2 linked regions of the Drosophila melanogaster genome follow. The protein of the gene in region 2 interacts with the protein of the main gene of each other region in a pairwise test. Each region holds a gene or a part of one and is shown on either strand. Other genes may lie near its edges. The genes, in order: CG13731 and sty.

Region 1 (7,754 bases), about 14 Mb from region 2:
AACAATTCACATACGAGCTCTGAAACTTCCCTAGATTAACAAATATATTTTTAAATTATCCAAATAGCAACCTGTCTAGAATGCGGTTTAGAACAGGCTCAAGCGACGGTCTTGTTTGATTCGAAAACCGCTAACGTCCTTCAGTGGAGTCCAAAATTTGAGGCAGCAAATTATCAGACACTCGGTATGGAAGTTGAATAATCGTCTGTTGCAATGTCGGATGAGGTGACAAAAAAAGGCTTTTCCTCTAGCCGGCAGTCAAGAAGCATTCGATGAGCCAAAAACTAAAAAAGAAAAAAATAATAAAAACAATTCAGTCGCTTCAGTTATCCGCAATGACAAATTTGAAATGTCAGCAGTCGCCGCCAAGTGTCATTGCCTTTGTGAAGATGTGCGAAGCAAGTTATGACCCGAATAAGTTAGCCAGCAATTATGTAATAAAAGACAAGAATTAATGTGGCTCTAAGTGGCGTCTGATGGCCGCAGGGGTGACTTCCGTTCGGCTGCACTTCCTCTGGGTGTTGTTCCGCCGTTTTATCTAGACCCTGACTACCCAGTGACCACGCACCTTTGGGCCGAAAGAGTTCAAAGTCACATCTATTTTGGGCCCGCTCATGACTGCGCGTGGCCAGTGGGTGTCACTCTGATTGGTTCATTAAAATCAAGACGTGACTGCTTGCGAATAAATAAATTCTAGTTATTAAACTGGCGAAATGCAGGCGATGACAAATGCCGAAACCCGTTTGGGAGTCGCTCGAAGAATGCAGCACTGAACACCGATCACCGATCACCGATCATCGAGATCTTCGAGTGTGCGTTTAAAGGTCACTCGGCTGACACGGAGTCAGAGATGAGCTGAGCCGAGCTGAGCCTACCTTAACATTCAACTCCGGCTGCCATCTGCTGACCCCCGGGCACACGCATTTTTGGCCAAGTCAACCGGTTCATGTTCAATTGGCCGACTCCAACTCCAACATCGACTCGCAACTCCAACTGCATTTAGGCCTGATCCGAGGGGTAAGTGCCATTAGCCAACGCCTGATCTTCTCGGCCTTATTTGCCTTGGCAAGCTTCGTTGGGAGCCTTGACTTGGCTCTCGATCGTCGAGCCAGCTTCGGCTTGTCTCATCGATTGATGAAATTCGGTGGCTCGGACCCATTTACCAAATTAAATGCTGCACGACAACGTGTTTAACACTCGCCGCAGACTTCTGCCAAAAGTACGAGCATATTTGCCAGCCATCGGAGTTGGCTAAATAGAAATGCCAACAAGAGCAGGCGTTGGTGGATGGATGGTCGGATGGCCGGATGGTGCGTCTGGCTTAGTTGCTCTTCTGCCATAATTGCTGGGCCTTAATTTGGCTGCCTTTTTGTCTTAGCCATGTTATCTGGCTGTTAACTCACAAACATCAAACAACCGAGACTGGTTGGCTTTCTGGTCAGCATTCAGCTGTCGGCGTCGCTGTCGACGAAGGCTGAGGCATCAGCAGCGGCAGAGACTTCGTATTCGGCTCATCTTCATCTGGCCAAAACGCTTTCGATTTCGGCTTTTGGCCGTGTGTTAACAGCTGTCGCCCAGGTGAAGATGCCTCTGCCGACGCCGCTGCCCAAGTGGGCAGATGCTGGGTCCGAGTATATATAGAAAATCTACAAGTTTTGATGCTTTAGTTGGTATTCCACACTCGACCTAGAAGTTAAACCAACTTAGCTTGGCATCGATCAAATTCAATCGTCCATTGAATTTGATACGATCGGTCGCGTCTTCTCCTTTCCGATCCTCACAGTACCGTCCGCAAGGATTATTCACGCACACCGCCTAGGATTACCTACGCACCCGGGATTACCGCAACTGCCGTTTGTAGCAGTCCGAAAGTGTACACCATGGTAACCGAACCCAGTTCCAATCCAATCTAAACCAAAACGAACAATGATCGTGTGCAAAGTGCAAAATAACGAAACAAGTGTCCCTCGGTGTGAAGACAAACAAGACAGACATTTCGCAAAGGAAAAGCAGTGCAGATGAAGATAAAAAGTATCAGTTTTGTTGGTCCAAAATATTTAGGGAGTTTCCACGTTTTATAGTTTGGGCTTGTGACAGTACAGAAAATAATTGAACGAATACGAATTTTCAATGATATTTGTATTCAAACTTTAATTTTAAATTAAAACATTTCTTGTGTTAAAATAATGTGTCAGCTATTTAGCGCTAGATCTTCAGAAATTTATTAATCCGAACTTGTATAAAAGGATACTAAAAAAGCATGTTCTACAATTTTATAGGGATACAATCATAAAAAAGGGTTATAAGATAAGATAGGGCCTTTAAGTTCATTCAAAATCATTCCGATTTTTCTCTGTGCATACCCAAGCATCGCAAACAAGAAGAAATAGCAAATAAATTGCCAACACCGACTGCAGTTCCAATTCAATCGCCATCTATTTGCATTTCACATTTTGTCGAGGGTCCAGCTCTGGACCCGGGCTATCATCGCGAGTTAAGAGTTGACCAGATGGCGGTTGACATTTAAGCCATGTAGAAATTGAGCAAGTGGCATCGAGTGCAATGTTACGCATACGCCGTGTTGGCCGCCCACAGAGCAAATCGCCTTGGCGCGATCCGCAATTTGCGTATTAAGTCATTAGGATGGACCAGCTGCATGTGCATTCTGCCATGTGGCGGCAGTTTCTATGTCAGCATTGACATGGCTGAAGATGAAATTAAAACTTGTTTTTTTTTCCATAATTTTCGCTTTTGCTTCTGACATTTGCTAGTCGCAATTTGCGATTGGCGTATTTAGGTAAATAGCCATAAAAACGTTGCCTTAAGTTAGATTCTTGACGTTGCCATTGAATAGACGTCCATTAATCACCATCATTGTTGCCAAAGAAGATTTCATTTGTTAAAGGGCCGACTGATCTTTTCCCCAGACTTTAATTCACCCAAATCTCTCACAGTTTCGGAAAAATAAAGTTGCCCCAAAAGTCTTGGCATTGGGGCTCTGCCCTCGAGGCGGTGTGAATCAGATTAATTAGCTGCCAATTAGCTCACTGAACAGTCGAGGGAATCGGTTTGCCCCTGCAAATATCTCTCCAAGTCCTTTCACTTTCTAACCTTTAAGCACCACCCGCCATAAGTCAAACCCGATTTGGTTCTCGATATCCTCAGCTCAATTGTGGCTGATATTTAAAACAAGTTAGAACAGCAAAAATTTTAGGTTCATTAGCATAAATTATTTAAAATCATTTACATACAAAGATCAAATATTTTTGAAATTAGCAAACAATCAGAAACCAACAAAAAAAATAAATGAAACTGGACCCAGTCGATTTTGGAGGTATGGCTTAAAATCTAACAGATTTGGTTATAAATGACAACCGGGGCTTACTATTCTTCGCATGCCAGATGCGTATGCTAATTTTGCGTTTTCTCACTAGTTTTATGGCCAGTCTTTGCTGATTATTATATAATCATGGCTAGAACTGGTCTGGAGTTTGGGGCCCGGATCCGGGCCGGTTTCTTTCATAATCGGCTATTTTTATAGCCCCCGAAAATTCTCCGTCAGCCAATTAATTGAGCTCATCGACACTGGCCATCTGCGGCCATCGACGAGCACTTTCATTAACTAACAATGACCTTGCCGAAACTCCAGCGACAAATGCAAATAAACCCGCTGACAGCATCGTCGGAAGCCATAATTCAGGGGCTACTTCCTCGGATCCCCATTGAGCTTCGGATCTGTTGTGTCGCTCCGCATTTGCATGGGCATTATGTATCAATCGCGTCAATCTGCGATATTTACATACATAGCTCCGGGGGAGGGGACTGACCTAGAGATGCTAATGCCCGTCAAAGTTGAATGTCTGCGTTAGCATTTCGGGTGATTTTCAATGCATTATGGTAAATCGATTCGCCAGCTTGGCTGTTTGTTGGCTGAACTTTACCACAGTTTTGAACTGCAGGCCAGCGGAGTTGCCTTGCCTCCTCCGACCCCGACCAAGTTGCCACGAAGCGTGAATAGGCGATTAGCCTAGAAGGCGATCAATTAGTCGCAATCAGGTTGTTAGAGCCAGTCGTTAGTCTGAGCACCTCTGTACGGCGACACCATCGAAGTCCATCAATATGTAGCATCACTAATCAGGCTGTGTTTTTCGTTCCTTCCCCACAGAGAAGTGCACTGTTCGTCTTGGCGCTTTGCGTTGTGGCTGTGGCCACCGCATCGGCCGATAACCATGAGGTAAGTGCGGAAATCTGACGATTCCCTGCCAACAGGAACTTACAAGCCACTTTTTACAGCGCAAGACTCGTGCCGCCGAGGGATACTTCTACCCCCCTCCCGATGTTCCATTCGATCTGCCCGTCCGCACCACACAGCCGCCAACAAGGCCGCCAACGCGCCCTCCTACTAGGCCACCCACCAGGCCACCCACCAGGCCTCCCACGCCACCACCAACCTACCTGCCGCCCACCAACAAGCCACTGCCACCAGTGACCACCCGTCTTCCTCCACCACCACCACCACCAAGGACTCCTCCCCCAACGAGGCCCCCAACTAGGCCACCAACCACTCGTCCTCCGGCAACCTACCTGCCACCCACCAACAAGCCACTGCCACCAGTGACCACCCGTCTGCCTCCTCCACCACCATCACCAAGGACTCCTCCACCAACGAGGCCGCCAACTAGGCCACCAACCACTCGTCCTCCAGCAACCTATCTGCCACCCACCAACAAGCCACTGCCACCAGTGACCACCCGCCTGCCTCCTCCACCACCACCACCAAGGACTCCTCCACCAACGAGGCCCCCAACTAAGCCACCAACCACTCGTCCTCCAGCAACCTACTTGCCACCCACCAACAAGCCACCGCCACCAGTGACCACTCGTCGTCCAACACCACCACCAACGAGGCCACCACCACCACCGACCCGTGCATCGACTCCAGCTCCTACCTACCTGCCTCCCACCAACAAACCACTGCCACCAGTCACCGTGCGCACCACTGTTCGCACCACTCCTCGTCCAACTCCTCCTCCTACCAAGCCACCAACTCGCCCACCAACCACTTATCTGCCACCCCCAACTGTGCGCACCACCCGCCCTCCTCCACCACCCACTCGGCCACCAACTAAGCCACCAACCACTTACTTGCCTCCCGTTACCGTGCGCACCACCCGTGCCACCCCCCCACCAACTCGCCCACCAACCCGGCCACCAACCTACCCACCGACCACTCGTCGTCTGACCACTCCGGCTCCTACTTACTTGCCACCCACCAACAAGCCTCTGCCACCGGTCACCGTTCGCACCACCGTTCGTACCACTCCTCGTCCAACTTTGCCTCCTACCAAGCCACCAACTCGCCCACCAACCACTTACCTGCCACCCCCAACTGTGCGCACCACCCGCCCTCCTCCACCACCCACTCGTCCACCAACTAAGCCACCAACCACTTACTTGCCTCCCGTTACCGTGCGCACCACCCGTGCCACCCCACCACCAACTCGTCCCCCAACTCGCCCCCCAACCCCTCCTCCAACTAGGCCACCACCACCACCAACCCGTGCATCGACTCCAGCTCCTACCTACCTGCCTCCCACCAACAAACCACTGCCACCAGTCACCGTGCGCACAACTGTTCGTACCACTCCTCGTCCAACTTTGCCTCCTACCAAGCCACCAACTCGCCCACCAACCACTTACTTGCCACCCCCAAGTGTGCGCACCACCCGCCCTCCTCCACCACCCACTCGTCCACCAACTAAGCCACCAACCACTTACTTGCCTCCCGTTACCGTGCGCACCACCCGTGCCACCCCACCACCAACTCGCCCACCAACCCGGCCACCAACCTACCCACCCACCACTCGTCGTTTAACAACCCCGGCTCCTACTTACCTGCCACCCACCAACAAGCCTCTGCCACCGGTCACCGTTCGCACCACCGTTCGTACCACTCCTCGGCCAACTCTGCCTCCTACCAAGCCACCAACTCGCCCACCAACCACTTACCTGCCACCCCCAACTGTGCGCACCACCCGCCCTCCTCCACCACCCACTCGGCCACCAACTAAGCCACCAACCACTTACTTGCCTCCCGTTACCGTGCGCACCACCCGTGCCACCCCACCACCAACTCGCCCACCAACCCGGCCACCAACCTACCCACCCACCACTCGTCGTTTGACAACCCCGGCTCCTACTTACCTGCCACCCACCAACAAGCCTCTGCCACCGGTCACCGTTCGCACCACCGTTCGTACCACTCCTCGGCCAACTCTTCCACCCACGAGGCCCCCAACTAAGCCACCAACCACCTACCTGCCTCCCCCAACTGTGCGCACCACCCGCCCTCCTCCACCACCCACTCGGCCACCAACTAAGCCACCAACCACCTACCTGCCCCCCGTCACTGTTGTGCGCACCACCCGACCTCCTCCACCACCCACTCGTAGGACCACCGTGTACGTGCCACCACCAACAGTGCGCACCACCGTGTACGTGCCACCCCCTACGCAGCGCACCACAGTCTACGTCCCACCCGCACCCACCAAGCACCAGGGCTACCAGTACCCCGTGCCCAGCATCCCCTTCAACTTCTAGATCTAGAGATCCAGATGTGATTAGGGATAGGGCCATCGTCTAGGGCTAGATTGATCTAGTCAATTCTCGTACAGTCTAACTTTACACGATCCGGCGCCAGCGGTGCTAGAGGGCGCCACTGGTGCGCCTGCAAGGACGACATTTGTTTGTTTTTATTTTATTTTTGTAATTAATGAATCGCATACTCATACAGCTAGGGATCATTGTAAATGAGTGCCCCAATTGTACAGCTAACAGTCTATCCAACTCTTGCTATGTTCTATCACTATTCTACAATCGATGGGCGGCCGTCGTCTGTGACGGACGCCAGCTCAAGACTATATAGCTCTATATTACGATTAAATAAACTTTTAATTCGGATCGCTGAAACCTGAACAATAAAATAAGTTTTTCGAATATTTACAAGCATTTTTTTCATCTGTTTTTGGGAAGCGGAAATTACATGCGGTCCTGTTATGTTATGTGCGATGTTTGAAACCCAAACAATAATAACATATTTTCTTTTTCACTCCTAACCGGGAAATGGGATCAAGCCATGTCCGGGAGATTTTGTGGTCTGGTTGGTCTCGTGGGTTCCTCCTCTTTTGGGAGTTATCTTAAAAGTCGGTTTTAACGACTATGCAAAGGAGATCGTTGCTTGCAAGTCATAAAGCGCCCAAAGTGCAGGTTAGGCAGTTAACCTTGACCTCCACTTCTGGTCTCTACTAATTTAAGTTATGGATGTGAAACACGTTAGCTTAGTTAATAGGTTTGAAAAGTTCGTATGAGTAGGTATTTAAATACATGTATGTTTACTATGAGCGATGTATATTTTCATGAAATATGAAATAATTTAACCTTAGGTTATAATTAAATGTCAAATTTGAGATATAGTTAAAATGTGATTTGAACTTATGACTTTTAAAATATTGAATCGATTTTTTTAATATAATTATTGATTATCACTAAATGTTATCATTTCCCTTTTTAAAAAGTATTTCACTTATATACAAAATTAGAGCTATGGCTAGTCAGCTCCTTCGTGAGTGCATAACCACTTCGGTTTCATCACGCCCCGAAGATATTTCTAGTTACTTCGCAGCTATCTTCAGATTTTCATGGTCAATGCGTTTTTTAATATCTCTTTCTTTTCCACTTGCCTGGGAGCACGAATT
Region 2 (4,869 bases):
TGAAATTGCCCTCGAGTTCATGTTTAGACATTCACCTCGAGGCCAATGTGTTACCTCTGCCACTGCGGCGATTATCTAGGACACTTGTGACGTCAGGCGGGAAAACTGTTGGACTGGGGTGGCGTATTCATTGCGGATTGAATGCACGAAAAGCCATCAGAGCCAAACACCCAGACATCAACTTGGCCAACTTTCATACGGATTTCTCATTGAGCATTTTCGTTCAATGAAATTTCATTTATTTTTATTCTGTCCGTTCGCATTCACACTCATTTATTCGAATTTGTTTGCCCAAAAATGTTTCGGCCAATATACATACGTATATATAATTGAATGGCAGACCACTTTTTGTTGTCGAGTTTGATCTGATCGAATGATTCACATTTCGGTTGGCATTTCAATTTAGGGTCCAAACAATGGCAGATGTCCAGTTGTCCAACTCCGCAGCAAAGCAAATGAAATTCTTTCGGGGATACCCTTATCTTAAAAGGTTATTTTGTTTCTTTATGTTCTTGGGAAGTATTTAAAATATATTATTATTTAATGCTATTCAAAAAGTATCTTACTCAACTTACTCATCCTAAAATAACATTTTCCTAGCGCTCAAGAAAGTAATCCACATTCGTTTTTGAATCCAATTTAGCTCACTCAGCTTTCTTGTTAGACTTTAGCTTTTTATTGTTCTTTATTCTGATGTTCCTTATACATATACAATATATACGTATACAAATATATATGTAGAGTTATTGTGATGCGTACCGCCCATATGTGGAGCTCGGCGAAGTGGCTGCTTTCCGCCAAATTTGGTGCCGCATTCGACCGGATGTCGTTGGAAATAATATTGAAATCTTTATTATTTTCACTGATTAATTTATGGGGCAGTAAACGAAATGAGCTTTGAGTGTGCTGTTCGATTTTAATTTGGGAGCGGTGCACAGGGTGCTGGCTAATTTTCAAATAAGCCCGCCTTAAGGAGGCAGGGCAACCCTGGCCGAACAGCTGATGGACAACGGATGACCTTGGGGGTAATTGCAACAACCCCCAAGTGGAAATTCACTGCCATGGCCAATGTCGAGGCGACGCCTACCGAAGGTCGTTGCCAAGGCAACTGAGTGGGCCAGAGCCCAGCTCATTGGGCCAGGAAATGCAGGCGTGTGTGAGTGGGCGCCCATTGAAAGTGGCGATGCATTCAAAATGGCCGTCAAACGGACGACCTTGAAAGCCGAGTGCTCATTGGCCGGGCCACCGAGGCCAGGATGTTGGGTGGCGGGTGGCTGGTGGGTTGGTAGGCAATTGGAGGGGGCTGGATGGCCATGCAAATGGAGGGAACTGGGAGCCAGGAGCTGGGAACAGGAGCAACCAGCAGCCAGGAGCCAGGATTAGTCCTGCAGCAATAGCCGAAATCGGAAAACAATACGAATGTCGCACGAAGCCCACGCAATGTCGTTTCGTGTTTCGGATTTTGGGACCTTCGGCCCAACGAATGGGTATTCCCCTCCAGGACGAGATCCTATCGGCAATCTTCGGGTGAGGCTGCAGCTCCGATGCAAAAGTCGTGCAACATTGGCTCAGTCACTGGACGATAGTCAGGCTGCATTCAACGTGCAATCTCCGAGAACTTGTGCTTGCAAAATTATTTACCAAATATATATACCCGATATATATACAGTTGTATGTTCAAAGACACAACGCAATTAGCGATTAATAGATGCGCACACGGCGTATGCGTAATTTAAGTGAATCCAAGTAAAAGTGCGCGTGTTTTTAAATAATTAACAATTTTAAATAGTAAACTATCCCATTGAAAAAAAAAACATAATCATACATAGCGTAAGCCTCTTTAACTTTATTACAAATTAATCGTGCTATTAATCAATTAACCAAGGCATCTCGTTGAGTACAGTTGCCACCAGAAAAACAAAACAACTCAATCAACCCCAAAAACCAGAACGAACAAAGGCGAGCTGTACCGAGCCAAAAAAAATCTCTAATCAAATTATCCGCATTATCTGCAATCGAGTCGACCAAGCCGAGGAAAACTTTCAACCAGAACCCATCCATCAAGCAACTTCCCTTCACCGGTGAGTAGCTTCATTGTCCCTTGTCCATCTCTATCAATATATGAACCTTCGCAGTCGAAGAACACTTAAATGTCTCAAGTCATTCATATTGTCAATTGGAACTTTGGATCTTGACTTTTTGTTCTTCTCTTGAGAGCTAAAAGTCACCCAAAGGTTAAGTGACCAGTGCTCATCAGTTGGAAAGGCATTAAAAGTCATTTATATGCCAGTGATTTTTATGCAAGAGATCTTATCGAAGATTTGTCAAGGATATTATAAATGTATTATAAAATGTTCATCCATTTGAATCTTAAATATCTGAGTAAATACGCGGTTGTATAGTTTGTAGAAATTGGGAATTAAATTTCTGGAAAAGTTGAAAAGTCTATCCTAGCCAATATTTTAAAAAAACAAGATCAACTCGATAAAAATAAATTCGTGACATTGTTTCTTTTAGTCAAACAATGATGAACAATTTCCCTACAATATCTTTGAGCTTTGAGTAATGGAATAACATTTAATCGATAGTATGATAGGTCTTAATTTTATAAATTTGTCATCTGTACCCTTTTTCCCTACCTAAAAATCAAATCTTATGCCTGAGCCTTAGAGCTTAGGCATTCTGGAATGCCATAAATCATTTTCACTGCCCCAAATGGGGGGAAAGGCGGAATCGGCGAGGATGAGTGGGGCGAAGTGGCTGGAAGAAGGCTCTTAAGTTAATTTAGTACTTTGTTCGCTGTGCCAGATCATTAAAATTATTTGGCGACTTTGAAAAATTCGAAACAGTAGCCCACAAATACCGACAGCTGAACGAATCTCGAAATGAAATTGGTTTGGCTGATGAGGATGGAGATCGTGTTTTCGTTCGCCGGCTACCCGCTGCGTTTGTCTGCAGATGTCTCATAAACATGAAGACCAACCAGTCCCTACCCTCCGAATATATATCTTTTTTCGAAATTTGTATAATCTGTATGCGAATCATAATGACGCGAAATCAAGATCGGACTGAAGGCTGAAAGCTGAGACACACTTTGGCCTTTTATGCCAGCTCACATGGAGGCTGAGGCTCAGCAAGAATTTTAAAAACTTAACCCATTTTGCAAACATAATGTAGTTTTACATTTGAATATATAAATGGGGATATTATGTATAATTAAATTCTGATATAAATGTAGGCAATAATCATTGTTTAAATCATAGCAAAGAATTGCAAATTGGAAAGTCCTTTAATGATTAAAGAAGTCATAAGAAGTACATTTAAATGCAAGGTCTTGGTCTGTTTCTATATGACTTTGGGTAAAACCAAAGCATCTGGGAGTTTTCCTAAAACCCCTAGGATACCCAGAGGGTTAAGGTTTCGCTGAATCTGTACCGTTCAATTAGCTCTGTCTTTGGGACTGGCGTTGACCAAGACTAATGCGCACATTTCATGCTGATCGTCGCAGGAATTCCAATTCCCTGCGAGTGAGTTCTCCTGGGTTTCTTATTTTAATTTTTTTTTTTTTTTTTGGCTCTGGGTTGGGCTGGCCCTGTCGGAGGAGACCTTTTCTTTGGGTCGGTCGCGTAACATAATTGCGTGAATAACTGCGTTAATTTCCCAAAAGACTTGACAGCGGATGTGGCTACTGGTCTGCGCCGTTGACTCCTCCAGCCTCCCAAATCCTCAGTCCTTCACCTTCTGCTTTGCATTGGCATTCCACGGACTATGCCATCGATATCGATCCGATTCGAACCGATCCTCTGGGCCCTGTGCCTCTCGCATTTTTGGACCCGGGTGTGCCAATGTTTTTTTTTTATCTTATTTATATTAAGTTTTTTTTTTGCCATAAATGGCTTCCGCCGGAGTGTCCAGTTTTTGGCTCACGCTGCATACGCATATACATGTGGAGCTCCATTTAAGGTGGTTCCGGGGGCTGGGGCTCCTCCAATATAATTATGAATAGGCAGGCCATGTGGGCATGGGCAACTCCCCCGCCTTCGTGGCCCCAACTACTCAAATCCAAAATATGAGCTATGCGTTCCAATTTCAGTTGTGGGCTTTTCTCGGATCTTAACTCGGCCCCTCTTTTCTTTCGCATTTTGCACCGGTAGAAATAATAGATTTAGTAGAATTATTGCTTGATTAGAAAAAATATTAATTAATTATCTATTTATAATATAGTTTCTAATTACACACTGCACCAATCCAATTGTTTTTTGTAGACACAAAAAATATTTTTTCACATTATATTTATGTGTTTCACAATTTTTTGAACCTTAGGTTAATATTTTATATTTTCTAAACAAAATACAAAGTATTTTCATGTTAATTTGGTAAAAGTATTTTTCTTAATGCCTTTATACCATTTTTTCACTTTATCGATCGCAACGGAAGCGAGTTGGCGTTGCCATCGTCATTTTGCGTTTGTCACAAATTTGTTTAGCTAAAATATTGATAGAGAGAAGACATAAAAAATAAACACAATTTTTTAGATAGTTTTTCATGTGGGGGTTCCGACGGAATTCGGAATTCGGTTTCGAGCCTACTTTGACGAATTTGGAAGTAACATAAATATGCATTCTGCTCAGCAAAAGTATGACATTATATGCCATGTGACAATTTATGCTGACATCTCCTCATTATTTTATTATATTTAAAAAATAAGCGGCTTCAGCTTGGCTAACCTTGTTTAATGAAATCGCTTGATACTTATTTATTTTTATTTTACTTTGTTGTAACGCCAGTCAGTTATCTACCAATTTATTAATACATTCTTAATGATCGATTGTGGGGAAAATTGTTTACAAGAACTAATCACCTAATCTA

What was found.
Region 1: the proteins of sty (region 2) and CG13731 interact in a two-hybrid assay, tested with the Drosophila melanogaster proteins (2 studies listed by BioGRID).

Annotation. Positions count from the first base shown.
Region 1 is NT_037436.4:17,382,874-17,390,627, reverse strand, and holds CG13731 (uncharacterized protein), read left to right. Parts: upstream 1-1,671; 5' UTR 1,672-1,880; coding exon 1,881-1,883; intron 1,884-4,165; coding exon 4,166-4,234; intron 4,235-4,293; coding exon 4,294-6,600; 3' UTR 6,601-6,992; downstream 6,993-7,754.
Region 2 is NT_037436.4:3,421,637-3,426,505, reverse strand, and holds the start of sty (sprouty), read left to right. Parts: upstream 1-1,570; 5' UTR 1,571-2,081; intron 2,082-4,869. UniProt on the Drosophila melanogaster protein: Inhibitor of tracheal branching that restricts branch budding by antagonizing the BNL-FGF pathway (BNL: branchless, an fgf inducer of branching).